4 linked regions of the Astyanax mexicanus genome follow. Each later gene encodes a partner of the first gene's protein in a complex. Links are inferred from orthologs where the notes say so. Each region holds a gene or a part of one and is shown in the gene's direction. Other genes may lie near its edges. The genes, in order: tgfb1b, itgav, nrros and itgb8.

Region 1 (7,748 bases):
AATATAAAGGACAGTACAACATCAGATCAGCATGAATTATTTTTTCATTTAATTTATATTTTAAATGTATTTCTTTTTTATAAAGCTGTCTGTAACCCTCCCAGAACGTGTCCGTGTCCTGACCCACCAGTTGAGAATCGCAATAAACACCACTATGACTGAATCATGAGGTCACTGATTTAGATTTAAATTCCTCTAAACCTAAAATATAGGATGGAAAAGAAATGCTCTTTTCTGAAATCTGAGTGAGATGTAATCGCATGCTTCTCTTTAGAACAGCAGTTGTGGGTTTAATGGATATATTGGCTCTCTTCATATATATGTAATCACTTCCATATGTACAGAAAGAGTAGCTGACTTATTAGATTACACTGTTGCTTTCTTCTGTGGATCTGCTGTCAAGATATTCTACATCAGATATATAATTAAATTCAGAAACAGTTTTGTAAGGTTTATGTTTTATTTATTTATTTTATTTATTCATTTTATTTATTTATTTTTATTGCATTTTCGCTGTTGTGAATTGTGGGGTATATTATGTTGATATTAGTTAGCTGATTGATTAGTACTATCATTTTAATTACTGATTTCCAACCTACTGTTTAGTGTCTACTGTAAACTGGTTCACACTACAGACCTATTTTATACTATAATAAGAAAAATGTCTTTTTGTATGTATTTTTTTATTATTATTTTTGCCTTTCTTTCTTTCTTTTCCTTTATTCATCTTTTTTATATAAAAAAAATCTTCAGATGTAACTCATTTTCCAATCTTTTGCAGAGTCTTATGGCAGAGCTGCACATAATCGGACAGATTGTCGGGGCCAGCGGTTTCCCTCAGAGTAGTTTGTTCTGCAAGTGGGGTGTTCACACAGGTATCCAATCGTCTCTAATCTTATCTCACATCCCTCCAATCTTTTTAGTTTTGGTTGCAAGGTGTTTGCTTTTGTTGTTCATGAATCTAAACCTGGATTAGTTTCATTCTCATTGTGTCTCTCTCAATCTGCCCATCAGGAGGAGCATGGAGGCTCCTCTCTGGACTGAAGGAAGGACAGACGCAAGTGGACATGCCCCAGATAGGTGACACAGCTTACTGGAGTCATCCTATTGACTTGCATTACACCACTAAGGGCCTTCAAGGTATGAGTGAAATTTCAGTCAGGTATTCTTTTTTTCTAATGTTTTATTTTATTTAATAGTTAAAGATATTCATTATAGAAACACACAAACCCACATAGACACGAAAAAATGATGATTAAAAAAAGAAATCTCAACTCCACAGATCATTGATTATTAGCATATCAACTGTAAATATAAATAAACAAAAGGAGACATGCTATTGAGCCTGAAATTGGTCCCAATTGGTACCAATATCTAGTACTCTAGAAATATGTGGTCTGAAGTTTAGTTTAAAATGGACTCTAATAAGCTTTCGCTGCAGTTGTGTAAGCTATCCTCTCCCTGTGCCATGCGTAGGGTTGTGTGATTGGTTCACTCTCTAATGTAACTTCTTCCACTTATCATGTTACGTCCCTTTCTATCAGTATAATAGTACCTACTGCCTAATAAACCCATAATGTAAAAAAAAAAAATTCTTGTGAAAAATCTTGTTTCTCACCATTTAATTTTTTGAATCGAATAAAAATACTGAAAAGCAACAAATGGACGAAGATATTGTGAAACTTCTTTTAGAAAAGTGATGTACAGTAATGTGTGTTCAATCCACAGTTTGAAAAGAGTTCCTGTGTGTGAAAACAAACCAGTTATTAAGAGCCTCTTTCCCAAACGAGCCAAGAATCAGTCCAGGGTGCTGACTCTATAACTCAGGACAGTGTGAAAATGCCCTAAATGTGTGTAGTTCGAGAGATTTCAGAAGGATTTAGCATATCTTGTGGCGTTCCACATGGTTTTACTCTGGGGCCAATAAAACTAATAATTGTTAATAATTATAAAACTTGAGTTCTGAGAGTAAAGGCCTGAAGTGTAGGCTTAAATACAGTTTCTAATGGGTAAAGCGCTAAACACTAACAGATGTAATGTAAGGAAAATTCCAGTTGAAACTTTATAGTTTTCAGTCCTTAATATTTTAATACAAGCAGAATTTTATTTTTTTAATTTTATGAGGTAATCTAGAGTACCACTAGTGGTAAACATACCACAGTTTGAGAACCACTGGTTTATACAATTTAGTTCCTTAGATCCTTTTTGGGCTATTGTTAATTTTTTTCTAGTTCGTAAAGTACAGTAGTTAAATAATATAAATCTAGTCTAACATCGAGTCTAGTTTTGGTGCAATGTGCCCATCAATCAGAATTTCTAAAACTTTTTTTTTTTTTTTTTAAAGGTTGGCCAAAGCTTCACCTTCAAGTGTGGCATCAGGATTCCTTTGGCAGATGTGAGCTGTATGGTTATGGTTATTGCCACATCCCGTCCAGCCCTGGCCAGCACCGGCTGCAGTGTGCCACTTGGAGACCATTGGGGACCTGGCAGGAGCAGCTAGCTCAGATGTTTGTCGGCGGAGGACCTCAGCTTCGCTCTCCTGACCTCATTTACAGCGGAGCGGACCGATATAGACTTCACACTGTTGCCATGGGCAATGTAGAGCTGGACCTCTGCGTCATCCTGCGGCATTTTGACAGATACGGAGTGGAGAGCTAAGTGTGGGACACCTTTAGTGTGCAGATATAAGCAGAATGACTTGAGTTGTTTATTAGGAATATAGTGGAGTTGTTATGCGGTGTGTTATGCAGTGTAGAGCGTTTTTTAAAAGAATGGACATGTATGAGTCATTTGACTTCTGGTTTCTGAATAAGCCAGACCACAGCTCTGGATGGAAAAGAGGGAAATGGCATTCTTGGATGTGTATGAAGCAATGCAGTGATACGTTCTGTGTTTTTCACCTCACTCTGACTGATAATGTTCACTACAGTGCTTTGATCACTTTTTAAAAATATTGATTTTCTACAACCAATTTTATATGTGATTTGTTTTTTAATAATGCAGTATGTGTCGTGTTTTAACAGAAGTAAATGTTATGGATTCTTAAATTTTCCATTCTCCAGACAATTATTTTGATTACTGCCAGCACAACAGTGACCATGCAACTGCTAAAGCAGGCATTTCACGAAGAAATATTATCACAATTTATTGCCCAGGATAATGATGATATCTTGATACTGTGATTCTGGAAAACTCCATATATCACAAGATAATTCTCAACGATATTTCACTGCATCTGTTTTACTGAAGAGGATAAAATACTCCTAAATAATCAAATAGCAAGATTATGGATTTATTGGTGTTTCAGTTTCACAAAACTTAACAATCAATATTCTTTACTGCAGGTTTACCCTATTCGTTTGATTAGGGCAACCATATGAAGAAATAAGGCATAAGTCAAATTGGGGTATCTTAGAGTCTTAGGGAGTTCAGAGTTTTAATACAAAATAATCCATATTTGATGCCATGTATAGATAATATATCGCAAATGAAAACAATATGATGTATCGCAATATTGATATTTTGTCTCATCACTAGCCCTGATATAGTCACTTGGTGGGGGTTGCAAGATTTTTATTTTGCAGAACGTCCAGAGAATCAGATCCTGATTTGATCTAGGGTCGTCTTTTCATTTTATCAGACCGACTCTTTCTTCTTTGTCTGCTTGGCTCAACTTTCAGATTCAGTTTCACTCATTTTCTCACTTTGTGTTGTGGGTGTACACCTCCAGGTAGAACTGAAACTGAAAGCAGGAATGCAAAAGACAGAAAATGTGCACAAAACCTGACTTCAGAATTTCTCAGTGAATTATTATATTCTGCACTGTTTTGTGTCCTGTTAAAACATGTCTGGAACATCACATAAAGTGGGTAAACTCTTGAGAAAAGACACTATTATTCATAGTGGAAAAAAATGTTAAAAACCCCTGTGCTAAAGGAATACACTTTAGCATACACTGCATAACATTGTGTTTTTTGAGATTTTAAGCTGATGTCTGTAAATTCTAGGATTTTAGTGATTTAGAGCCCTCTCTGGTGAGAATGGGTAATTGCACCGAGCATGCGGAAGAATAATTTTAAACTGAGCAGGTGTGATGCGGTCTCCTTTCAGAGGGGATAAATCAGATTCCAGGATTCAGATGTTCAGTCAGAGAGAGAGAGCTCAGTCAGAAACTTCACTACTTCATTTCTTTGGTTTTACTATGAGTGAATGAGCTACTGAGCTCTGAGTTTCCTCTTCTGAAGTCTCCATTGCTCCACCAGCCGCTCGTGTTCAGTAAAACTGAGTGACGTAAGTACATAAAAAATGTGACGTAAGTACGTAAAGACACGTGACATGGCCAGAAGAAGAACTCCTGCAAAAAGCAACCAAACAACCCAGTTTTTAGAATGAATATATTCGGCTTAATAGGGATGGTCGTTCCATTAAACTGGTACCATTGAAACAAACCAATATTGTATACATAATACATTCTTCTTCACTCAGAAATGCTTCTGCTTTCAGTTTAGGAATAAAATAATACACCTCCACTTTAATGAAAATTGTAATCTTCTGTATGTCCCCCGCTCACACCCCCTACAATTAATCACAATTCATGCTCCTTTCGATTTGCACATCCATACCACCCTGTGTTCTGTATTCTGTATGCTGCTGCTACTGATGATGAGAGCAAAGTCACCCCAGGTTTGATGTGTTGCAGATGTTTTAGTATGCTCATTTCCTGCGTGGTTACAGCAAAAAGAAAGCTGAAAAACACTTGTGGTTTACTGAGTCGGTTGTCCTGCACGGAACGTTGCGCTTTCACAAATCATTTTCTCTTCGGCTAGCGACTGTTACAGGAACGAGGAGCAAGCTAAGATGAGGGTAAAAGGAACAGTGTCTCTTTTACTTTAAGTGTTTCTTTCAGAGGTGCAATGTGCGATTCAAAAGCAGTAGAGTGTTTAGCAGAAAATGTGCAACCTCCTTAAAATAGCTTAACTTAACACAGGAACCTTCATGGCTTTTGATGTGTCAGTGTTCTCCTCTGCTCGTATTTTCTGTTCGAGGCTGCAGAAACCTTCCTGTTTGTGTTACAAACTGTAACACAGTGTGTGTCTGAATTTAGGTAGGTGCTGAGATGGGGGACAGTGGTAGGGTGTTGTGGCGTATTGTCATCCTGTCCTGTTTATATCCGAGTTCCTCTTAGTTGTTGAACCAATGGCTGATGAGACAAGAATAAGAAGGGGCGGGGAGGAAGAAGGGAGCTTTGCTCTTTTTTTTTTCTGAGAGCAGAAGGCTTGTGTTGTGGGTCTGAGTGCAGCTGGCGTAATGTTTGGGTGTCTCTGATTCTAATTCTCTGTGGAAACCTCCTTGCCTTCTTGGGACACTACTGTTTGTTCACAGCTTGAAATTAGGAAGCTCCCTGTGGGAGCTGATTCTGTCTTTTGACTTTTTGAAGAGAAGAGTCTGGGAGATTGAGATGCGTTTGAGAGATTTGAGAGGTTTGATCTAATTGGATTGGTAATTTTGGTTGTTTCAGTAATTTGTGGAGAGGATTAGCTTTTTATAACTCATGTGATCTGATCTTGTGAAAGGCTGTATTGACTAGTACTGGTTTTGTGTTTTATCCCAGACTCTGGGGCTCTTGGGACTCTTCTAATGGTGCTGGAAACTATGTTGGTTTGATGTGAGAGCACAAGTATGTGAGCGCTGTATATTTTGCACAGTGTTTTGTCCAGCAGTCTTGTGTGGCAGTCTAGAGTGCCTTATTAAGACTTGTGAGTATAAACTTCTGAGTTGTACACAGCTTGTTAGCAAGTCTGATTGGGCAATTGCTTGGTGGTAAAGGAAGTGTTGTGTCACTTTGTTAAGCTATCCTGCTTCCTTTTCCTCTTTCACTCCTTTAGGTTAAGTTTAGACCACAGCAAGGGTTGTGAAGCCAGCACTGAGACAGAAAAAAAGAGGAGTAGCTCCAGTTAGCTGTCATGTACAGTGATGTATTGAAATTTTGGAGTCACGGGGGTGAGTCGTGCCCTGTGTTCTGCAGATAATGTGTGGTAACAAGTGAGGTTTCCTCTAGTTTATTGTGTGGCAGCATGTTGGATCCCTGAGAGCTCATTTGGGAGTTTGTCAGATCCAGCAAGGCTGCCTGCCAGCAAGACAGATATGGGCAGCAATTTCTCAGCGGTGTAGTGACTCTGATCCTGACCCCGGAGCTTGGAACTCAAGAAAAGGCGCCTCTGGCCAATGGAAATTTTGTGTTGGAATACTGAAGCGGAATCAGCATCCAGAGTGCGTACGCTTTAAGTCTATAGCAGACCGTTTTCCTCCTCGACCTCCCTCAAACAGCGCCGAGCTTTCCTCAGGACCTAAATATACCCTACGAAGCCATCTGCGGAGGATGAAGGCGCAGGCTTTGATCCTGGCACTGCTGTGCCTGCTGCAGTCTGCATCCCACAGTGACGCTCTGTCTACTTGCAAGCCTTTGAACTTGGAGCTGGTGAAACAAAAGCGGATCGAGGCCATCCGAGGGCAGATCCTCAGCAAGCTGCGTCTGGCCAAGGAGCCGGAGGTGGACGAAGAAAAGGAGACAGACGAGGTTCCAGAAGAAGTGCTGTCCGTCTACAACAGCACGGTGGAGCTGAGCGAGGAGCTGACGCAGAACACCGCAAGCATGGCTTCTGAGGAGGCAGAGGAGGAGGCATATTATGCCAAGGAGGTTCACAAGTTCAACATGACCCGGTGTGAGTATATATATATATATATATATATTTATAGGTGGTGTGGTGTGGTGTGGTGTGGTGATCTAGCTTGACCACCGTTGTCGTTTTCACATGTAAATTCAGTATTGTCATGTCTGGCAGGTCTATACATCAGCAGGAAAAGTACTGTTTGAATCTTGTGAGGAAATCAATTAATAATTGATTGATTGGTGCTCAGTTAGACAAATAGTGCACTCAACTGATAAATGATAAGATAAAACTTGTCAGGTAAAAGGGTAAACCTGATATAAAACTTGTTTAACAAATGAAATAATAGATTTTACTATCCTAAAAGTTGGTGGCACAAACGTTGTGCATTAATTCAGTGTTCTTTAATTGTTTAAACACTTTAAAGACTGTAGATTTGTATATCTTTATATTCGTTTTGCACGCCTTGGCTGGATTTTCTCAGTCAGCTTCATGAGGTAGAGTCACCTGGAATTCAGGCTTTCAGTTAACAGCTGTGCTGAACTCATCAAGAGTTAATTACTTGAATTTCTTGCCTCTTAATAAAGTGTTTGAGAGCATCAGTTAAAGTAAAGTAGTGAAGAGGTAGAGTTACAGGTATACAGTGAATAGTGAATATTTGAATAATGTTCTAAAATATATTATGAGAAGAACGTCTCAACTAAGTAAAGAAACAAAAAGAGCTCAGTTAGACAAATAGTGCACTCAACTGATAAATGACAAGATAAAACTTGTCAGATAAAAGGTTAAACCTGATATAAAACTTGTTTAGCAAATGAAATAATAGATTTTACCATCCTTTAGGTTTGTGGTACAAAAGTTCTTCAATGTGTATTGATGATTGGAGTAACATTAATGGTATTGGGTAGATACCGTATCAGTCAAAAGTATGGACACTTTAAATTTAGTGGGTTTTTTTAATATTATTTTTTTATAGTCAACAAGATTGTAGATTTTTATATCTTTATATTAGTTTTGTCGGTCTTGGCTGGATTTTCTGAGTCAGCTTTATGAGGCAGACTTGGAATTCAGGCTTTCAGT
Region 2 (8,117 bases), on another chromosome or scaffold:
AAGGTTTACAGATGCTGTAGTTTTAGAAAACCCTGCATATAATTTGATTATTACGAAGTTATGCTGTTTCTCCGCTTTGACTACTATTAGGTCATAATCTTGACTCATATAAAGGACACAAGTTATTAAAATTAAACAAATAGAAGGATTTAGTCTTTTAAATGGTATTTGATGGTGAATCCGAAGTTTATTCTGTGTTCAGTTTGATAGTCTGTCTTTTTTCTCTGATCTTTATAAGCGCAGTGTTTCCAGGGTTTGTATTCTGAGTGAGTTTATTTAGTGATCATGTCTGTAGTGACCTCTTCACCTTTTTACCCGTAGGAATGTGTTCCTGACCAGAGGATCTGCTCATTATTCAGGCTTTGGGATTTGTACGATAGGCTCGTATCTCACTCTGCTGATGGAGATTCTGAAATCGGTCCAGTTCAGCTAATATAAGCAGACAGAAACAGAGATAGAGGAGGAATTTCTCACATTACGATGCTGTGGAATGTGTTTTTTCCTGCAAACTCAGTGTTGATTTAGTGGCGATTCCGTGATCAGACTCTCAAAAACATGACCATTAACTAATACACTGCACTGCAACAGTTTCAGCACGACTGACTTTCTGGAGGTCCAACACAACTTAATACAACTTGCTTAACATGCAGTACTGAAGAAAGTATAGGTGCATTTAAACATTTGAAAATTATTGAAAAGTAATAAACAGAAAAAAAAATAAGAGACTGCTTCAGAATTGAGTTTCTTTGATTTTACCAAATTGAAAACCTCTGGAATATAATCAAGAGGAAGATGGATGATCACAAGCCATCAAACCACCAAACTGAACTGCTTGAATTTTTGCACCAGGAGTAAAGCAGCATAAAGTTATCCAAAAGCAGTGTGTAAGACTGGTGGAGGAGAACATGATGTCAAGATGCATGAAAAAAAAACTGTGATTAAAAACCACCAGAGTTATTCCACCAAATATTGATTTCTAAACTCTTGAAGCTCTGCATCTTAAATATGAACTTGTTTTCTTTGCATTATTTGAGGTCTGAAAGCTCTGCATCTTTTTTGTTATTTCAGCCATTTCTCATTTTCTGTAAATAAATGCTCTAAATGAGAATATTTTTTATTTGGAATTTGGGAGAAATGTTGTCTGTAGTTTATAGAATAAAACAACAATGTTCATTTTACTCAAACATAAACCTATAAATAGCAAAATCAGAGAAACTGATTTAAACACTTTATAAACTCTGTTTTACATAAGACCAATTGGTACTTTTGTCAGTGTGGGCAGTGTGCCAAGTCCTGCTGGAAAATGAAATCCTCATCTCTATTAAAGTTGTTATCAGCAGAGGAAAGCATGAGCAAGTGCTGTACGATTTTGTGGGAAAACAAAACTGCACTGACTTTAGACTTGATAATAAAACACAGTGGATCAACACCAGCAGATGACAGACATGTCTCTCCAAACCATCACTGACTGTGGAAACTAAAACCTGTAGAAATTATGAGGTGTTATCTTGTGAGTGACTGAGGCTCGGTCTGATCAGGACGGGATGATTTCAGTTATTTTAGTACAGTATCTGTACTGTACTCTGTGTGTAATTTACTCATCAGGGAAACATAATTATTCACTGGCTCTCTGAGTCACATGGTGTCCGAAAGCCCCTCTGACCACATGCACTGCCGGTCAGCTCTATCACACAGAGCCTGATTGTTCTCCAGAGCAACAGAAGGACTTTGAGCGCTGACCCTTTTATCTCCCAGCAGCACAGCGGCTTTATAACAGTGCGTACCAAAAGAACAGAACCGAAAAAATCACTGAACTGATTTCACTTTCTCTCTCTGACAATACCACAATAACAAATACTTTCACTTTATCAGAAACACCCACCATACCTGGTGTTTCCACCTTATCAGAAACACCTACTGTAGCATTGGGCTTTCACCCACTGGCCACTACAGGGGTTGGAGAATGAAACTGGAACACCTGGTTTTAGAGCACAATAATTTATTGTGGTGACGGACAGTTCTGGTGGAAACAGGAGAGTTGAGGTGCACATTGAATTCTGCGTGATTTTTTTGGATACAATCCGGGTTAGCACCCGAACATCCCTTTCAGACAGCGTCCACAGTTAATCCTGTTGGATGTGGTCGGTCCTTCTTGGTGGTATGCTGACATTACCCTGGATGCCGCGGCTCTTGATGCATCACAAAGACTTGCAAACACCTACTGTAACATTGGGCTTTCATTTACTGGCCACTTTATTACAGTGATTAATACCACTTGGTAGTATTTTTTCTAGTTTTAAGTAAGGTCATTAGTTTTAGGAATATCAGTAAATAATTATATGAATTTTTTGCTGTTATTATGTCATTCAATATTTCGGCACACCCCCAGTTTATAGCGACTATGGTTCAATAAAAAAATATTAATATTTGACGCCACAAATCGATAATGTATCAGATATTTTGTGATATCTGTATTTTGTCCCACTGGTATCCAGTATTTTTGAGTTCAGTACATTTCCTCCACCTGTGCTCTGCTGTGTTGTACTGTGCTGTACTTTACTGTATTGTGCTGTGTTGTGCTAATGTACTAAAGTGTACTGTACTGTATTGTGCTGTGCTGTGATTTTCTATGTTGTGCGGTGTTGTACTGCACTCTACTGTGTTGTACTGTGCTGTACTATACTGTATTGTGCTGTGTTGTGCTGATGTACTGAAGTGTACGGTACTGTGTTTTGCTGTGCTGTGTTGTGCTGTACTGTGCTGTGCTGTGTTGGGCTGTGCTGAGCTGTGTTGAGCTGTGCTGTACTCTGTTTTGTTTAGCTTTGCTGTGCTGTACTGTGCTGTGCTGTGTTGTACTGTAATGTACTGTGTTTAGCTGTGTTGCTGAACCCGGCTCTCTGTAGTGTATGGTACTCTGAGCTGTGTGTGGAATGTGCCAACGAGGCCTTCCTTGTTTTTCCGTCTGAAGGAAAGCCGAGAAACTTTTTCAGGGTTTGGGATTATTCTGTGTGAGTGTGTGTGTGTGTGTGTGTGTGTGTGTGTGTGTGTGTGTGTGTGTGTGTGTATGTGTGTGGATGCATGCCAAACACAATATACACACTCCATGTTTCCTCCTTATGGTTCATACAACACCAGAGACCTTCACTATTTACACAATATTATACACACACACTCCTAAAGCATGACTCACACTCGGCCAAGTCTGAATAAAGTGTGTGTGTGTGTGTGTGTGTGTGTGTGTGTGTGTGTGTCAGACTGTCTGAGCCTGAGCTCAAACCATTAAAGTCCAGCCATTAAAAGCTCTGAGTTACTGACCACACCCTGTTATTATTATTGTTGTTGCTGCTGTTCTTATAAATATAATAAATAATACAACTTTTTTTCAAGAGAGATTTAAAGTTTTAATCAGATATAATATATTTTAGTGAAATTTTATTTTAATTTGAGTCAATTTCAAAACTGATACAGGGTTGTATAGAACATTCAGTGATGAGCGTATGTTCCTTATTATCATTGTGATAATTATTTTTGAAACTAATAATAAACAGCAATTGTTAAAAACTATGCTCATTATGGGATGATGATTCAATAAATCAATTAATGGCACTGCATGTAGCAGACTGCCATATATTAAAAAAACTCATTATCATTATGTTATTTAAATTGTATATATAAAACTCATTCTCATTATGTTATTTAAATTGTATATATAGATTACATAACATAAAGAAAACAAAATTATTGTGTTGATAAATTAGTATTGTTATTATTGTTTATTTTATTTATTTTTTAAAAAGCAAATATTATTTGTATTATTATTTTTTTTAAATTTGTAAATAAACATAAATCAATGTCATCTTACAGCACTTCATGCTTCCCTCTGCTGACAACCTTTATAGAGATGCGGATTTTATTTTCCAGCAGGACTTGGCACACTGCCCACACTGCCGAAAGATCTTACATAATATTCAAATTTTCTGAGACACGGATTTTTGGGTTTTCATTTGCTGTAAGCCATAATCATCAACAACAAAATAAATAAACGCTTAAAATAGATCACTATGTGTGTTTAATACATCTATATAATATATGAGTTTCACATTTTTAACTGAATTACTGAAATAAAGTAACTTTTTTTTCAATGATATTTCATTTTTTGAGATCCAGTACTGTATATATTTATGCATCTACAGCTCTGGAAAAAAATAAGAGACTACTTTAATTTTGACAAATTAAAAAACCTCTGAAATATAATCAAGAGGAAGATGGATGCATTTAAAGTGGCAGGAGTTGCATAAAGTTCTCCAAAAGCAGTGTGTAAGACTGGTGGAGGAGAACATGATGCCAAAATTCATGAAAAAAAAAAAACTGTGATTAAAAACCAGGATTATTCCACCAAATATTTATTTCTGAACTCTTAAAACTTTATGAATATGAACTTGTTTGTTTTCTTTGCATTATTTGAGGTCTGAAAGCTCTGCATTTTTTTTTGTTATTTCAGCTATTTCTCATTTTCTGCAAATAAATACTCTTTTATTTCCTCTTTTCTCCAGAGCTGTATATATACACAGCCTGACAGTAGGGGGAGAAATATACAATAAAATCACCAAAAACGTGAAAAGAAGCAACAGAAACATCATAAATAGTTTTTTTTTTACTAAAACTTCTGAGTCTAGACTGGATCAGTCCTTATGTGGAGATGGAGGAAGTCCCCGTGACGTCACAGAAATTGTCACATCCTGTTTAATCGTCTCCACCCCCGGCTAACATCAACATCAGCGGAGCAGAGCCCAGAACACGCACCTCAACACACACTCCATAACACACTCCTCCATAACACTGGAGCAGCGCGCGCCGGCGAGACGCTACACTGGGACGCTTTGATGTCTTTGATGTAGCGCGCGAGACTGTCTATGAGTGTCTATGGGTGTATGCGGCTGTGTGAGTGTGTGTGAGTGTATATGAGAGTGTGTGTGTGCACTGATTAGAGCTTCTGGACTCTTCTGAAGCTGAAAGCCCGGCAGAACCATGGAGTACCATCTCTTCTGGATCTCCCTAACACTAACCTTGTATCTCCAGCCCGGAACCTCCTTTAATCTGGACATAGAGAACCCGTACGTGTTCTCCGGACCGCAGGGAAGCTACTTTGGGTTCTCTGTGGATTTCTTCTTCAAGCCTTCTGATAAACAGTAAGTGTGTTTAAAAAATGTTGGGGTTCTGATTGTTGTTGTAACTCTGCGGTCCACCTTAAATGCTTAAATGGTCCAAAGAGTACCAAGTACCAAGTACAAAGAAACTTACAGTCAGAGAGTTGGTTGTTGTTGGAACTCTCCAGTCCACCTTAAATGATGCAGAAAGTTCCAAGTCTAAAGGAACTTGTAGTTGAGCCTCAGGCGCTACAGTGCAACTTCTGCACCACTTAAGGTGGAATGGGCATTTACATCAACTTGATCTACAGCTTTCTAGTGAAGAAATGTGTAAAAGCAGACTTTGGCTGTTGTTGGAACTCTCCGATCCACCTTAAATGGTCCAGAGAGTACCAAGTACCAGGTATAAAGAAACTTATAGTCAGATCTAAAGTGGAGCTACAGTGCAACTTCTGCACAGTTTAAGGTGGACTAGGCATTTCCACCAACTTGATCTACAGCTTTCTAGTGAAGAATTGTGTAATAGCAGACTTTGGCTGTTGTTGGAACTCACCGGTCCACCTTAAATGGTCCATAGAGTACTAAGTATCAGGTATAAAGGAACTTATGGTCAGACCCAAAGTGGGTTTTTTAGTTAAGCCTCAGGCTCTAGAGTGCTAATTCTGCACAGTTTAAGGAGGACTGGGCATTTCCACAAACTTTTAAAACAACGTTTTTTTTGTAAAAAAAGTGTCAGAAAGCTTGAGGGTTTGGTTGTTGTTGGAACTCTCCGGTCCACCTTAAATGGTCCAGAGAGTACCAATTACCAAGTATAAAGAAACTTGTGGACCCAAATTAGAGTTTTTAGTTAAGCCTCAGGCTCTAGAGTGCAACTTCTGCACAGTTTAAGGTGGACTGGGCATTTCCACTGACTTTTAGAACCACATGATCTACAGCTTTCTAGTAAAGAAGTGTGTAAAAGCAGAGTTTCGTTGTTGGAACTCTCCAGTCCATCTTAAATGGTCCAGATAGTACCAATTACCAAGTATAAAGAAATTTGTAGATCCACAATGAAGTTTCTAGCTCAGCATTGAGTGCTAATTCTACACAGTTTAAGGTGAACTGGGCATTTCCACTGACATTTAGAACAGCATGATCTACAGCTTACTTATGAAGAAGTGTCTAAAAAGCTTAGTGGTTTGCTTGTTGGATCTATCTGGTCCACCTTAAATGATACAGAGTGTACCAAAGAGTACCAAAGAGTACCAAGTATTAAGGAACTTGTAGTTAGACACAGTGGAGTTTCTAGTTGAGCCTCAGGCATATAAAGTGCAACTTCTTCCCCATTTAAGGTGGACTGGGCAGTTCCACCAACTTTTAGAACAGTATGATCTACAGATGTGGTTTGGTTGTTGTTGGAACTATCTGGTCCATCTTAAATGATACAGAAAGTACCAATTACCAAATATAAGGAACTTGTAGACCCAAAGTGAAAGTCTTTGGCGCTAGAGTGCAGCTAGTTCACCATTTAAGGTGGACTGGGCATTTACACCAACTTTTAGAACCATATGATCTACAGCTTTCTTTTGAAATGTTTTAACTCTGTTGCTTTTGAAACTTTTCGGTCCACCTTAAATGGTCCAGACTGTACCAATTGACAAGTATTAAGAAACTTGTTGACCCACAGTGGAGTCATTTTAAACACATTTTACCCCCTAGTATTACTCAGGAGATACAACACAACACATTCAATCCAAACCCACTATGATTATGTAAAATAAATCAGTAATGGAGTATTTAATCATACTTTTAAAGGAAGCCCAGTGCAGAAGAGTTGTTGTGAAAGCATCAGACTGAATTTATTTCAGTGCAGAATGAAACTGCCCACAGCTATGCTGATGTTTTAAGACTCCGCCCATCACCCACCACATTTTATACCACTAAAAAAGCAAAACATGTCCTGACTCTTACAGGATTAGAACTTTTAATCTTATGTGTTAATTGCTGTACATTGTGATAGAGAACTAATACTGTCACTGTAGTAGAATTACTGCTCTTTTAATTGAGTTAGACTGTGATACATGAGCTATATTTTAGTATAGCATAGTTACTGCTCTTTTAATTGAGTTGCATTGTGATACAGTACTAATACTCTTATTATAGTACAGTTGCTGCTTGTTTTATTGAATTAGACTGTAAAACAGTACCCATATTACCACTTTAGTGCAGTTACTGCTATATTAATTGAGTTACATTGAGATACAGTACCTGTATTTTCAATTTAGTACAGTTTATTTTTTGTTTTGTTTTATTGAGTTAGACTGTGATACAGTATCTACACTTTCAATATAGTACAGTTAGTGTTCTTTTAATTGAGTTAGACTGTGGTACAGTACCCATATTTTCAATATAGTACAGTTACTGCTCTTTTAATTGAGTTACATTGTGATACAGTACTAATACTGTCACTGTAGTGCAGTTTATTCTATTTTAATGTAGTTATATTGTAGTACATTACCTATACTTTCAATATAGTAGATTTACTGCTATTTTAATTGAGTTAGACTGTGATAAAGTACTAATGCTCTCATTATAGTACAATGTCTGCTCTTTTAATTGATTTACATTGTGATACAGTACCTATACTTTCAATATAGTACAGTTACTGCTCTTTTAATTTAGTTACCCATACGTTTACTATAGTACAATTCCTTTTCGTTATTTGAGTTTTATAGAGTATTACTTTAATATTTTTTAATATTAAGTTATTTTTAACTCTAATGTATTGTCATTTTTTTGTCTATATCTTTATTTTTGTGTAATTATATGTACATTACATTAAATCTTATTTTATTTGATACCATTGTAATTGCTCTATACTAATCGATATGTGGACATTATTATTCCTTTATTTTTTTATTTATTCATGTATTTATTTGTATTTTTTCAGGTCAAATGTTCTGATCGGCGCTCCGAAAGCCAACTCCTCAT
Region 3 (7,790 bases), on another chromosome or scaffold:
AGGTGCTTTAATAATATTAATAATATTAATATTAAAAACATAAATCATTCTGTGGCCAACTCTAAATCAGATGAAGAGTTGCTGACTGTTTGATAACAGCCTGTTTTTGAGAAATCCTGGAAATGTAGGCCATATTTAGCTCTGTTAAGCTCCATTAGCAAATTAGTGCCATTAGCTCGCTTTTTGCACTGGTGCCAGAAATGTCATTAAGCACTTAAGGTATCGGTTACATTCATAAAATGGTTTTTATTCCAATTAGAATTGGATTTGAATTCCAGTCAGCTTGTTCTATAGCACAGCACAAGAAAAAGTAAATATTATTTATATTCTTTTAAATGTGCTTCAATTTAGTCTGTTGCATTATACAATGCACATATCAAGCATAATATTACCTCCTTGCTTTTATAAATAGCCACTAATGCCTTTCATTTCATTCTAGCCATATAAATGCTGAAGAAGTACCAGAAAATAGTGTTTCTGTTCAGAGTGCAAATAAAATACAGCCTTGTGAAAAAATCAGGGGAAAACTCTGGTTGGTTAACAAATTAAAACATATGCACATTTAATCCTCATTAAAACAATATTGAGAGTTTAGAAAGTAGTAATACTAAATATGGAACTGTAAAATATATAAAAAAATTCAGAAGTAACAAAGTTTTTCTTTTAACTCGTTCGTCTGAAATAGAACTCTGATACTCTGAACTCTGATACTCTCTCATGTGCATTTACTGGAATGTTGTGGATCATTGTCTTGTTGCATGGTCCAACTTTGCTCCAGTTTTTGCAGCAAAGACTGATGCAATCACATTTTTATCAGGCACATTATAATCCAAGCTGGCAATTTTTTTTACTGTCTCATTTAGCTCACGTAGAAACACATCCTCTATTAGACAGTCCCATTTTATAGTGACTGTTTATGTTTTAGGAGATGTTGAGGATTTGAAGGTACTAAAAATATATTCAGGTAAACTTAAAACCTGTTATTTACAGTAAACAAGAGCAGGCACACTGGATGCTTCAAGACTCAAGAGTATAGTGCTGTACCACAGCTATAAACAAACACTGGCTCTGCTGCTCCGTGCTGTTTACACACTAAGAGCACGGTCTGTGCAGTGTTCACTACTTCCCATTAAAAACACTGTTCAAAAAGTTCAGCATTCTGTTTTAAATCAGCTTCACACTGCAATGATAGGCATATATGCGCACTGGAACACAGAATCTTATATTTATCATCACTATATTTACTCTTTTTTTCCCCCCACACCAAACACTGTTTGTCAAATCATATTAGACTCTGATGTGCTTGCGTGGTTTATTGGTGGGCATTTTGGTGCATTTTGGTGGGCAATTTGTACCTGTGTGGAAACAAACCAAGCAGATTAAATCCTAATTTTTTATCTTGTTTTAGATCGGGGAGAGAATACGCGTGATCCTGGACATGGACGACAAGACGCTGGCCTTCGAGCGAGGTTTTGAATTTCTGGGCGTGGCCTTCAGAGGGCTGCCCAAGACCTGCCTCTTCCCTGCGGTTTCGGCTGTGTACGGCAACACGGAGGTCACCATGGTCTACCTGGGGAAGCCTCTGGATGGCTGAGGACCGTCTCTGTGCCACATAGACGTCATAGACATCACGAGTGCCAAGGAAAGAGACGTCCACAAGTCAGAGCACCGAGAGTCGTACGGGGGGAACTCTAAAGGTTTACAGGGGGGGGGGAACGGCGAGGCTCTCCACTGCACGCTTCTTCCGTGGATCCGGCACGTCTCTGGATGCTCCCCCTGATGGCTGTTGAGGACTATTGTTTTGTTTTTGAAACTGATTTATATCACATAATTTATCAAAAAATAAAGACACTGGGCTAGCTCATAATCCTAGATTAATCAAAGCCAAACCACTTTAGATGGCACGTGGCAAGTTTTAACCCTAACACCCCCCTCCGATCCTGATCGTCTAACCGTATAATCCACAGTAACAAAACAAAAAGCGTCTTTAACACAAATTACTGTCTGTACCTGATCCACTGACGCACCGGAGGGATGGCTTTAGGACTTCCAACAGATCCAGCAGTGCAGCGAACGACCAATGCCAAAACCACCTTCTTCTTATTACCTCCACACAGCTTGACCATTTGGAACCGGGCGAGGATTCGGGCGAGGCTGCTTCACTAGAGGAGTTCACTAGAGTACTTTGCATGCAGTAAAGTCGATGCCGTCTTTGGACGTCGGTGTTTTGTGCAGGAAATCCAAAAGAAAACCTATTGTAACAATGTTACTGTACTGCTCAATTGTGATGTACTAGTGTATGATATTTATTTATTAGGTTTTATCCTTGATATCGATGAGGTCGTGGGACCTGTAAATAAACTATATGGTGCCAGTCTGTGAAAGTGTGCCGGCCGTTGTAGTTTTCTACCTTTTGTTCTTTAAAAAAAGAAAGAAAGAAGTTCAGACAGGTGATGAATGCGACCTCAGTTCCACGTAAGGAAATAAATAAATAAATAAAATCAGATGATGTAATGTTACAATGATTTGTAATATAAAATGTATCTAATATACCATATATAGGATTTTATTCACACTAAGAACATAAAGCACACACCAGATGTAGAATTTTAACCCTTGTGTGGTGTTCGTTTTCATTTTTCATCAAATGATACTAAAAAAATATTTTTTCTAACTCAAACTCATTGGGATTGGCTCATTTTTTGTGAAAAAGATATATATCAAAACACATTTTTGATAAACACACACTGTATACCCCCCCTCTCTACACATTTATATTACATACAGTATGATTGGCCATGGGGCTAATAAACATTGCTTCATTTGTAAATTTGAAACTAAACAAATTTTCTACTCATATCTTGAGTTTAATTCATTTTCTTTTACATTTTATTAAAAAACTAATAAAAAAAGAGTAGCACTTTTTGAAAGAAATGTAACATAAGAAAGGTAAAGGGCAAATATTAACCATGTAAGCTGTTTGTTTATATTGCTTGCAATTTAGGTGAAGCGAGCATGTGTAAAGCATTTTAATGTAGAATTGCTTAATTTTGCTGAATTAAATACAAATAACAAAGTAAACGAGTAACAAAAATATGAACACCACACAAGGGTTAAAGAAGAAGAAGAACATTAACATTCATCTTCAGTTTCTTCTGTTTTCTAATAATTAAACGCTAGTTGTTGTTCTCTCTCAGCTGCTGCCTGTTCTGCTGTAGATCATCTCAGTCTTGTGCAGCTCTACAGTTTAGTCTCTGGTGTTTGGAGACAGATCACTGGTCTTGGTCATGGTGGAGAGGCTGGAGTGTGATTGATTAGGTAGGTAATTGTATATTGATTAAGTGGACAGGTGTGTTTTATACAGGTAACGAGTTGGAACAGGTGCAGTTAATGCAGGTAATGAGTCTCTCAATGTTAAAGTGAACCTATGATCAAAATCTACACACCTCTACATTCTTTATAGGAGGGAAAACTTGAAAATAGGTTTTGTATTAAATACATATTTTCCACCACTGTATGATAAAAACATTTCTGATTTGATGAGGGTGTTTTTTACTCAGTGCTTCTCCATCCACAGGTCACGAGAGGTCACTGAAAGTGTGGGTGGATGAGTATAAAAATGATGTAAATTCATTACTGATGCATCTTAAAAAAAAAAAAAAAATATGAGCTCATTGAAAAGTTACTTTAGTTCAGTAATTCAGTTTAAAATGTGAAATTCATATTATATTATATAGATGTAGTCAACACAGAATAATCTATTTTAAGCGTTTATTTCTTTTATTGTTGATTATTAATTATGAAGCTTACAGCCAATAAAAACCCAAAAATCAGTGTCTCAGAAAATTAGAATATTATATAAGAAGACCAATTGATACTTTTGTTGGCAGTGTGGGCAGTGTGCCAAATCCTGCTGGAAAATGAAATCCGCGTGTCCATAAAAGTATGAATATAAAATATATATATATATATATATATATATGTAATGTGATCTCAATAATTTAATTAATAATTTAGCTGGCCTTGGTATTGCCCATTGTGTTTACTACCACTTCAACAAGCAAAAAGTGTGTGTTTAATTTGATATATGCTGAATAAGGAGGATATTTAAACATTTTCTATATCTGAAATTTAATGTCTGAAGATGAATAATTACTGTAATTGTTTTGCTCTTTTATTGTTCTTTAAATGGGATTATTATTATTATTATTATTATTGTTATATAATTGTTATATCAGTGGCATAAAATGACCGTGGTCTCAAAGTGACAGTAATATAATTTATTCCATTTATTTCTGGGACAATTTATCGCCTAAATAACATAAGATATTCTGAGAAGCCCAGTTTCTTCCCACAGTAAAGCTTTTAGAGGATGTTTTATCCCCATTATTAGCTCTTCTTATGTATAGAATTGTGTATAAATGGAATAATTAAGGGCTGATGTCTACTTCTTAACCTCCACAAGGGGGTATATACCACCCATTCTTCTGCTACAGGCTCCTCTACTGCTTCTCTCTCTCTCTCTATCTTCACTTCCACAGGATATTTTTAATACACACTCATACACGCACTGCTTCAGTCCACGCTGCTGAAGAGAGGGGGATTAATCACACGCTGATAAACGAGTGGAGAACCGTTTACTGTCTCCTCAGGTGAGTGAACACACTGTAAAGGGTTAATCTGATGATGCTCTTTATATAACAGCACACAGAAAGGGTTTATACTGAAAGTAATGATACAGTTCTCTGATAAATGGGTTTATCATCAGTACGTCTGGTCAGTGAACCACGTAATGTATATGGGGTTTCATTTTTTTAATGTTTTATGAGTGATATATCATTAATATGTACTATATTATTATTAATTGAATATTTCTTTCTGTTTAAATTGTTTTATACAAAAAAACATTTCTATAAGTTTTCTGCTGGAAAAAAACAAAATAATGAAAGTTCAGAATCTTGAAACAAGTTCAATTTAACAAAAAAAAACAAACAAACAAAAAAAAACAAAACAAAAAAAACTTAAAACAAAAAAAATAAAATTTCTAACATGGTCCATCCAGAAAAGTTATAAAAACTAAACCAGGAGTTTTTAGAAAAATCTTTTTAAAACTCTGAAATCACTAAAGGAAGTGAACAGTGCTTTTGTGTTCACATTCGTGAAACTCGGAGCACAAGAACTGCAAGAACAACCACAGTAGCACTTCCCAGCTGATGTGGTGCTGTAAACAATGTAAACAATATAAACAATGTAAACAAAAGGCACAGCACTTCTTTTGTGCTGCTTACAATGAGTAAAAATGGTGAAAAAATAGATTTTAAAATAATCAAAAATAATCAGAAAAAAATCTACTTAAGATGAAGTCTTACACATTTTTTAAATTAAATAAAAGTAAGAAAAGGGAAGCAGATTTTCTTTAAATTATTTTATTTTAACCTCCTTTGTTTAAGATTATGAGGTTTTAAGAATTAATAAAAAAATTAAATCTGTTAAAAGTTGCCAACAATTTTCATTTCGTTTTAAATGGGTGGTGATGGGGGTTGCTTTAGGGTTAAAAATCAGTAAACCAATCAGTATTATTTGCTCTAATATTTACATTTACTTCTAGTAACGCCTTTAAAATGCCAAAAGTCATGGGATAGCAGTATTTAACTGTATCGTGAAATTTAAATGTAAGTCTCAACTATGCTTTTTTTACTCATAAAAATTAATCAGATTTAATTTGAAATCAATACTGTCTGATATCAGTAATCAATCAATATGCTGGTCTATTTTTAATAATAATACGTGCCTTTTAGCAGTGCCTGAAAAAGTAATAGTGCAGTTATTATCCTCAGACAATACTCTAGTTTTTGGTAACACTTTACAATACTAAAATAATTACAGTAATACAAATAACCATACATACAACACTAATAAACATTGTTAAATGGTTACGTAAGACATTATTAAACAACTAAAATTATCTTTTTAAACTGTGTAGTAATTAATAATAATTATAATTATTATTAACTATTAGAAAGTAGAATTATGTTTTTTATTTTACTAAATAAAAAAGCGTAGCTGTATATTTTCATTTTTCTAGCATTTTTTGTTGGTAATCTGATGATGGAGATACAGACAAAGCGTTCAAAATGTTTATAACTGAAGTTTAAACCTTTAAACAACTCTATATTCAATACTAAAACATTTGATGGACTCACTTCAGGTGGGTATTCTCCTCTCTAGAGTCTTTTGCAGGTCCTCGCTGGTTCTTTTGTGCTTTTTTTCAGATTCAGATTTTTGCGGGGCATCTTCAGAAACCTCTGTATGCATAGCTTAATTATTAATAGCTTAATTGCCCATATTAGTCTTTTTTATTTATATGTATTGGTTCTGGTGACCATTATCTTCCTTCTGTTTAGCATTATAATCTGACAGTCCAATCGAGGTTGGAAATCTTGTTTCGATCACCATCGTTGAAATAATGATGCTACTGAATCATTCATGGTAGGGACTGATTCGTTTATAGAACATACTGAATAATTTATAGCATTTTCTGAACCATTTATTGTAGATACTGAACTATTTATAGTAGATACTGACCTATATATAATGGATACTGAATAATTTATAGTAGATGCTGAATCAAATATAGCATTTTTTGACCATCTATAGTAGATACTGACCCGAATATAATAGATACTGAATTATATATAGCATTTTCTGTATCATTTATAATAGATGCTGAATCAAATATAGCATTTTTTGACCATCTATAGTAGATACTGACCCGATTATAATAGATACTGAATCATTTATAGCATTTACTGAATCCTTTCTATCAGATACTGATACACATATAGTAGACACTGAATCATTTATAGTATATACTAAGTCATTTATAATAGATTCTGATCCATATGTAATAGATACTAAATCATTTATAGCATTTTCTGACCCTTATATAGTGGATACTGAATAATTTATAGCATATACTGATCCATTTATAGTAGATACTGATCCATTTATAGTAGATACTGATCCATTTATAATAGATACTGAATCATTTATAGTAGATACTGAATCATTTATAGTAGATACTGATCCATTTATAGTAGATACTGATCCATGTATAGTAGATACTGAATCATTTATAGTAGATACTGAATCATTTATAGTAGATACTGATCCATTTATAATAGATACTGAATCATTTATAGTAGATACTGATCCATTTATAGTAGATACTGATCCATTTATAGTAGATACTGAATCATTTATAGTAGATACTGAATCATTTATAATAGATACTGATCCATTTATAGTAGATACTGATCCATTTATAGTAGATACTGAATCATTTATAGTAGATACTGATCCATTTATAGTAGATACTGATCCATTTATAGTAGATACTGAATCATTTATAGTAGATACTGATCCATTTATAGTAGATACTGATCCATTTATAGTAGATACTGAATCATTTATAATAGATACTGAATCATTTATAGTAGATACTGATCCATTTATAATAGATACTGAATCATTTATAGTAGATACTGATCCATTTATAGTAGATACTGAATCATTTATAGTAGATACTGAATCATTTATAGTAGATACTGATCCATTTATAGTAGATACTGAATCATTTATAGTAGATACTGATCCATTTATAGTAGATACTGATCCATTTATAGTAGATACTGAATCATTTATAGTAGATACTGATCCATTTATAATAGATACTGAATCATTTATAGTAGATACTGATCCATTTATAATAGATACTGAATCATTTATAG
Region 4 (7,680 bases), on another chromosome or scaffold:
CATTGTCTCAACACATGGATGGCATGTAATGTTTTATCATCATCATAAACATGATACATTAAAGGAAAACTTACAAAATAATTAAATATTCATGAAAAATATATAAACATATTGATGATGCATTCACTTAATAACTTATGATACATTGATTTCCCCCACACAAAATGGGAAAGATGGGAGTAGTAAAAAGTATCAGTATTTGTATCAGTATCAGCAGTATTTGCCTTGTATTTACTTGGTATTGGATTGATACCAAATTTTGCAGTATCGCACAGCCCTAACATAAAGGTACAAAAATATGATTAAATATGGTTAAAGGGTCGGTAGAGAAAAAAATAACAAGTAGATACAGAAAGGGAAAGAATGCAGTGTTTCGGAAAACTAAAAAAAGTATTTTATTTCATTGCAGAGAGTATGAACCTAAGGAATAAATTATTTTGTTTGTTCAACTTTATTTCATTTTTTTTTTTATGCATACATTTCTTAGTTTCCCTGACTGTGTGTTTTGGGTCATTGTCATGCTGGAAGACCCAGCCACATCTTCAATGCTGTTACTGAGGAAAGGAGGTTGTGATTGTTGGCCATGTGATTGATTGAGTGGACAGGTGTCTTTTATACAGATAACAGAGGTGCAATTAATACAGGTAATGACTGCAAAATTGGAGGACTTCTTAAAGAAAAACTAATTCTATTTTATGCAATAAAATGCAAATGAATTGAGAGCCTCATATTAAAGAATACAGTATGTTGCATAATGATGTTTTTTCTATCATATTTGAGTGTGAAGAACCTTTTAAAAGTTCATAAATCTTTAACAAGTTATTTTATAAAGGCTCAATATTGGAAATAATGTTTTTTTTTTTTTCTGAGCCAAGAACCATTTAGAAAGCTCTGTTTGTAAAAGTGTGTCTCATTTAGAGTCCAGCAACTATCTGTATCAAGTTCCGAGTTTATGAACTTAATACTTTTCTGCCTCGCAGGCTCACAAACAGACTCAAATCCCTAGAGCTGCTTTTTGGACGCAGATTAAGCCTAGTCTCGGACTACAAAGGAAACAAAGAGTAGCCTTAATCAGTGTTTTCAGACCTGGGTAACTATGTCATGCTAAGTTTGTTCCAATGTAAGCATTACTACCCCCCTACTCTCAAAAAAAAAAAAAAAAAATCCAAAAAAAGCTAAATCCTATACAATTAATGTAGGGCTCCAGGGCAATGACCTACATTACCCCCTCATTAATGTTGGCGGTAAAGTACAGCAGCCTCCCTTCGCTCAGTTTTCTTTTTCCTCTATTCATTAGGGGCCATCTCTCAGTCGTCCTGCATTCTTCCCCCAATACGGACGCATGCTCCGAGGCTGGATCCATTCCTAAATCCCTCCCCAGCTCCTCCATTCAGGCCTGTTTCCATGGGGAATAGGAGAGACTATTGTCTTGCGTCTCCACCCTGCGTGGTGCAGGACTCATCTTGGCCCTGAAGCTTCATTCGTGCGCATTTGCTTGACGGTTTCCCACTTAGTGAAAAAAAGGTTTGTGCTACATAAATTATATGGTGTTAAGGTAGCTGGCGCTGGATGAATGCTTCACGCTGAGTTTGTTGGTGGACAGATAAACAATAGGCGCTGTACAGCTACAGTATGTGTGCTGCAGGGGTCACGGGGTTAAACTTTATGTTTATGTATGATGTGAATGGTTTATGATTATAGGAGCTAAAGTAATGAATAAATCACATTCACTGAAGATGAGACTTTCTGCGTCGGACAAGAAAAATAAACAATACAGCCATATTTATATTTTTGAATATTTTTTTATCTTAATAAAAAAATAAATATACTTTAAGTTTTCCATAAAACTTATTTTTAAGCAATATGCTTCAAATGAATAAACGTTGATCAACGTAGATGTTATGGCTGAATCAACGTCATACGTTTAACCTTTAAAAAAACCATAGCTCATTAAAATGAGAATCCTATGGTTAACAGAGTGTTAACAATAAACTTACAATACTTAAATACGGCGTACTTTTTTCTAGTAGCATTAAGGTGTACACAATATATACATCTATACGCAAAGGAGTACATTTGCAATATACTTTAAGTGCATTAAAAAAGTTCACAGAAGTTTATTATTAATTACAACAATTACAACTAAGTTGCCATAAGTTGTTCCAAAATAGTGCATTAAGTATATAATTATTTTATTTTACAAAAGTATGTACTTTTCCATGTTAACTTTTAAAACATATACTTAATACACTTTCCTTTTACAAGGGTTAACTTACATACAGTAAGCAGTATATACTGAAATTTACAGAAAACAAACAACAGAAAAAATAAATTTATGTTTTATGACTTTTCAAATTATTAATATAATAATGTACAGTAACATATACAGTGAAACATAGGGACACCCATTTTTATGTTTTTTTTTTTTTTTTTTTAGTTTAAAATTAAGTCTGGATTGTAGATTAACACTGAAGTCACCCAAATTATAAACAAAAAACTAAAAGTTAAGTTAGTTAAGTTAAGTTTACTAAATAGCTAACACACTTACATAAGTTAAGTTTGGTTATACTTGTTATCTAACTTGGTCATGCTTATCTTGCTTGTAGACCATCTAAAAACCATTAAACTCAATCAGAAACAAAACAAACCTAATGCTGGTCGAAATCTAAGATGGTCAATGAAGATAATTTTCACAACAGAATTCCAGTTTAATGACTGTTATTACTACTACCAACAGCTAGCTAAGCTAACATGCTACTTAGTTTAGCTCTGGAGGTAAACAGCAGAGTGAGTGACTGAAACACAGCTAACTGCTGCTAACAATAGAGGTAGGCTGCAACCTATTTTTTATGAATGGAAGAGGAAATAAGTCACAAACGTCCCACACCTACACACTGCAAACCACAGAGGACGACTGAGAGACGTGTGAGAGGTAGTAAAAAGAGAGAGAGAAAGAGACAGAACAGAAAGAGAGAGAGAAAAGTCCCACATCATCCCCCTGCTAGCCGCTAACATATATAACTTTATTTACAGTAATGGTGGCTGCAGTGTATACAACACCATTTTTTTTCTCAGAAGCCATGTGTAGATATGCTGTTGCAAAGTATTTTATGTTATATATTATTAATTAGAATTCATATTTGTGGACTGGTTAACCAGATACAGGAAGAGACAGAAACAGAGATGCAGACACATAGAGTGAGATACATACAGAGGGTTTATTTATTTATTATCCTTCACTTTTGTCATAATTTGTTTATTATTTTTGTATTTATTGAAATGTTTGCTTTGGCAACAGTTGTTGTTTGCAATGCATGCCAATAAAGCTATTTGAATTTGAGTGAGAGAGATACAGAAAGTGAGACACAGACAGAGAGAGAGAGAGATACAGAGAGTGAGATACAGACAGAGAAAGAGATACAGATAGTGAGATAGAGACAGAGAGAAACACAAACAGAGAGAGAGACCGAGAGATACAGAAGGAGAAAGAGAAAGCTACAGAGAGAGACAGAGAAATTCAGAGAAACAGAAAAAGACAGGCAGAGAGACATACACAGAGAGAGACAGAGAGAGAGATACAGAAAGAGATACATAAAGAGAGATAAAGAGATAAAAATATAGTGAAAGAGAGACATACATAAAGAGAGAGATACAGAGAGATGAAAGAGAGAGGTATAGAAAGAGATATACACTCTAAGAAATATAAGTACAGATTTGTACTTAAAAGAGTACAAAGCTTGTCGCTGGGGCTGTACCTTATATTGAGGCACAAAAAAGTACCTTTCAGTGAAAGTCCTTTTTTGTACCCATGGTTTTTGTGCCAGTAAAGATCATAAAGATTATAAACATTATCATCAACTGAATATGGCTCAAAAACTTGATGATACAAAATTGTCTGGCTTTCAAATAAAACATGTGCAATTTAAATATATATTGTTCATTAGTACAGTGATACAGAATACTGAATGTACCCTTTGGCTGGTTAAATGGTACAAATTTGTACTTATTGCTGTTAGAAATGACTTTGTACTTCAGAGGGAACAAATCTGACCCTGTAAAGACCAATATTATACCTTTGAGAGTACAATTATAAAGAGTGTACCTTCGAGTACAAAAAAGTACTCATATCGTACCTCTGTTTTTTAGAGTGTAGAGAGATACAGAACAAGAGAGAAATATAGTGAAAGAGAGACATACAGAAAAAAAAGATACACAGAGAGAGGGAGAGATTCAGAGAGAGACAAAGAAAGAGAATGAGAAAGATAACGAAAGGTAGTGAAAGAGAGAGAAAACTACAAAACGAGAGAGAAATATAAGGAGAGAAACAGAAAGAGATACAGAGAGATAGAGATACAGAAAGAGAGAGAGATATAAAAAGAGACAGACAGAGAGAGAGAGAGAGAGAGAGAGAGAGAGAGAGAGAGAGAGAGAGAGAGAGAGAGAGGTGAATATAAAGAGAGAAAAGTCCCGCACGGTGTCCCCCCGCCCCCTCGCTGATCTCAGCACTGTTTATACAGTAGTATCTCCTCCCCTCTTCTCCCCCCTCCTCCCGGATAAAGGCAGGCCGGTAGGCGCGCGTTCACATAAACCGGACTGATGCGTCCGCAGGCCGGACCGTCCCTCAGCGCCTCACCGACAGTTCCGGTCACCGGAGGCCGACAATGTCCGTAGCGAAGCCCCGGCATGGCCGCCTTACCTGCGGCCCGCAGCGCGCGTGCTTTTCCCTCCTGCACAGGCAAAGCAGCTTTCTGTACCGGGGGGGGCTCGCGGTGATAATCTGACTGCTTTATCCTGCTGCTGCTTGGGTTTGTGTGCGCGCGCTTGTGTGTGTGTGTGTGTATGTGTGTGCGTGTGTGTGAATGCGGCGGGATTTTAAGCTCTCTTTTGTTTGGGAGCGCGCGGCTGTGAAGAGCTCTCAGCGTTCCCCCCGCGACCTGCACGCTCGAGCCGCTTCTCCTGCTCCTGATTCCCTCGATGCTGCTATGACGTCCTGGCCGCGTGAAGAGCGCAACATTACCCTCCGGAGCGCGCTGGTCTTCATCATCCTCATCATCACTCTGTTCGCTGTTGCGTCCTGTCAGTTGGGTGAGTATGATGTATGATGCAGCGTGATGACTGTGAGTGTGATACTGATTGGATGATGTTTGGTGATTCCTTGTGTTGAACCTGACTTAGTTGTCACCTTGAGTATGGAGAAGGAAAAGTAGGGTTCATGACCTGAAGCATTCCAATGCATCATCTGTCAAACATGGTGGAGGCAGTGTAGGTAGGTAGGTAACTTTGGTGATGCCTTGTGTTGAGCCTGAGACTTACCTTGAGTTCATAGAAAAAAAGTTAGAGTTCAAGTTAATTCCAACGCATCATCTGTCAAACATGGTGAAGGCAGTGTTATTGGCTGGAGAGCAGAGGGGCTATATATGCACATGCTACTGTTCTGTTGGTAGGTAGGTAGGCACGTTTGGTGATGCTTTGTGTTGAGCCTGACTTGATTGGTTAATTTCTTGGTTCTTGATCTGAAGCATGCCAACGCATCATCTGTCAAACATGGTGGAGGCAGTGTAGGTAAGTTTGGTGATGCCTTGTGGTGAGCCTGCACTTTAACTGAACAGCAGTCAAATGAATTGAGCCTATAGTGGTTTAAGTGCTACCCACCGCGCCACCGCGCCGCCCAATACTGTATGAATACTTTATGATAAAAGAACACAAGAGCTTCTTAAGGCAAAGAAACCGAACGTGATAATGTGATAAATTGTGTTCTATTTATTTTTTTTGTGGTTTTTTGGTACTGTGAGGTCTGACAGGTTGTTTAAACCTGCATCACACTTGTCGATTTTGTTCTCAGTTTATCTTTGTTCTCAATTTTGAGTATCAGCATCATCAGGTATGTATGAGAAATTGGGGAACATGGTATCATATGTCTGCATTATCTCAGAATCCCCATATTATTTTATTATATTATATTCCCTAGCTAATACTATGCAATTTAGTATATTTAATTCTGCTTATCAGTAGACTTCCATCACTCAGATCACTAAACATCTGATGCCTCACTTAGCAGGAGCGTAGCAGGTGCACTGCTCACACTGCTTCCCCTCCTCTTCAGTGAGCTGTGCGCTCGAACTGACCGCCTGAAACCCCGACACGCCGGGCTGTTTCTCAGGAGGGGGTGTGCGTGATGTTTTTGGAAAGCGTAGCAGCTGGAGAAGAGTGCAGAAAGGGTAGTGGCTTGATAGAGACTTGCTCCTCATTCATGTGTAAATCACGTCGCTCTGTTTTCTTTTTTTTCCTCTGTGTCGCAGCGGAGAAGCGTTGTGCGTCACCCCTCGTCTCATCCTGCGAAGAATGCCTGAGCCGTGGACCGGAATGTGCCTGGTGCTTTCAGAAGGTAATGTGGAGGCTTTTGCTGTGCATTTTGCCTTGGTGCACACACAGCATTCCCTCCAACAGACCGGGCGATTTGGGTCGTGTTTAGTCTGACCCGTAGAAGTCCTGCTACCCCATCTCGTCACCCCCCAGCTTCCTAAATGACCCCACCCCCTCCCAAATCCCATTACATCTGTTTATTTGGGTGAGAAAAGCGCTTCTGTTTATTTACAGTAAGCTTAGAATTCCAGATTTCCCAACAGCACTAGTGGTTTATCCCACATAGCTTGTTTTAACACAGTAAACACGCAGACTACAGGCCGATAATACTTACCTCTGAACAGCGAAATAGCTACCGCTTAGCACAGTTAGCAGATAATGCTAATGCTGCTCCAGCAGTGGTATCCGGGGTTCGATGCAGGCTACAGGCCGATAATACTCACCTCTAAGCAGCGAAAGAGCTAGCGCTTAGCACAGTTAGTAAATAATGCTAATGCTGCTCCAGCAGTGCTAGCCAGGGTTACATGCAGACTACAGGCCGATAACACTCACCTCTGAATGACAAAAGAGCTAGCATTTAGCACAGTTAGCAGATAATGCTAATGCTGCTCCAGCAGTGGTATCCGGGGTTCGATGCAGGCTACAGGCCGATAATACTCACCTCTAAGCAGCGAAAGAACTAGCGCTTAGCACAGTTAGTAAATAATGCTAATGCTGCTCCAGCAGTGCTAGCCAGGGTTACATGCAGACTACAGGCCGATAACACTCACCTCTGAATGACAAAAGAGCTAGCATTTAGCACGGTTAGCAGATAGTGCTAATGCTGCTCCAGCAGTGGTAGCCGGGGTTAGCAGCAGACTACAGGCCGATAATACTCACCTCTAAGCAGCCATTTCTCATTTTCTGCAAATAAATTCTATAATTGACAATATTTGTATTTGTAATTTGAGGATAATGTTTCTGTAGTTTATATAATAAAACAACAATGTCCACTTTACTCAAACATAAACCTATAAATAGAACTATAAAATCTGAGAAACTGATTCAGAAACAGAAGTGGATTCTTATTTTTTTTTCCAGAGCTGTATATATAATAACACACAGCATTCCTTTTCACGATTTGGGTCGTGTTTAGTCTGACCTGTAGAAGTCCTGCTACCCCCTCTCTCGTCACCCCCCAGCTTCCTAACTGACCCCACCCCCTCCCAAGCACCCCTCCTTACATCTGCTGGACTCCTGGTCTCCGTCTGCATCCACAGGGCCCCCTTAAGCTCCAGCACCCTCTTAACAAGCCGCTTAGGGCCGGAGTGGCCGTGG

Evidence for each region.
Region 2: the proteins of tgfb1b (region 1) and itgav are in contact, whole or in part, in a crystal structure (PDB 5FFO), measured with the Homo sapiens proteins. The link is inferred for Astyanax mexicanus from reciprocal best matches to the Homo sapiens genes TGFB1 and ITGAV. Residues at the interface, in NP_000651.3 of Homo sapiens: Gly242, Arg243, Arg244, Gly245; in NP_002201.2 of Homo sapiens: Asp178, Asp180, Phe207, Tyr208, Gln210, Ala245, Asp248.
Region 3: the proteins of tgfb1b (region 1) and nrros are in contact, whole or in part, in a cryo-EM structure (PDB 7Y1R), measured with the Homo sapiens proteins. The link is inferred for Astyanax mexicanus from reciprocal best matches to the Homo sapiens genes TGFB1 and NRROS. Residues at the interface, in NP_000651.3 of Homo sapiens: Leu30, Ser31, Thr32, Cys33, Thr35; in NP_940967.1 of Homo sapiens: Phe194, Glu195, Ile196, Glu197, Gly198, Gly199, Phe201, Leu210, Leu212, Pro218, Cys219, Ile220, Val221, Asp222, Phe223, Gly224, Leu225.
Region 4: the proteins of tgfb1b (region 1) and itgb8 are in contact, whole or in part, in a cryo-EM structure (PDB 7Y1T), measured with the Homo sapiens proteins. The link is inferred for Astyanax mexicanus from reciprocal best matches to the Homo sapiens genes TGFB1 and ITGB8. Residues at the interface, in NP_000651.3 of Homo sapiens: His117, Thr241, Arg243, Arg244, Gly245, Asp246, Leu247, Thr249, Ile250, His251, Gly252, Met253; in NP_002205.1 of Homo sapiens: Ser156, Ala157, Ser158, His160, Asn161, Asp213, Tyr214, Asn215, Leu216, Gly248, Asn249, Ile250, Asp251, Thr252, Glu254, Gln286.

The regions. Positions count from the first base shown.
Region 1 is NC_064424.1:5,653,015-5,660,762, forward strand, and holds the start of tgfb1b (transforming growth factor beta-1 proprotein), read left to right. Parts: upstream 1-4,687; 5' UTR 4,688-6,379; coding exon 6,380-6,722; intron 6,723-7,748. Other genes in the region: b9d2 (B9 domain-containing protein 2), read left to right, coding at 788-875, 1,015-1,140, 2,345-2,658. UniProt on the Homo sapiens protein: Transforming growth factor beta-1 proprotein: Precursor of the Latency-associated peptide (LAP) and Transforming growth factor beta-1 (TGF-beta-1) chains, which constitute the regulatory and active subunit of TGF-beta-1, respectively.
Region 2 is NC_064418.1:49,337,972-49,346,088, reverse strand, and holds the start of itgav (integrin alpha-V), read left to right. Parts: upstream 1-4,759; 5' UTR 4,760-5,028; coding exon 5,029-5,189; intron 5,190-8,076; coding exon 8,077-8,117.
Region 3 is NC_064413.1:1,024,368-1,032,157, forward strand, and holds the start of nrros (transforming growth factor beta activator LRRC33), read left to right. Parts: upstream 1-4,546; 5' UTR 4,547-4,652; intron 4,653-7,790. Other genes in the region: fbxo45 (F-box/SPRY domain-containing protein 1), read left to right, coding at 1,409-1,594. UniProt on the Homo sapiens protein: Key regulator of transforming growth factor beta-1 (TGFB1) specifically required for microglia function in the nervous system.
Region 4 is NC_064410.1:2,967,692-2,975,371, forward strand, and holds the start of itgb8 (integrin beta-8), read left to right. Parts: upstream 1-4,553; 5' UTR 4,554-4,859; coding exon 4,860-5,085; intron 5,086-6,299; coding exon 6,300-6,385; intron 6,386-7,680. UniProt on the Homo sapiens protein: Integrin alpha-V:beta-8 (ITGAV:ITGB8) is a receptor for fibronectin. It recognizes the sequence R-G-D in its ligands.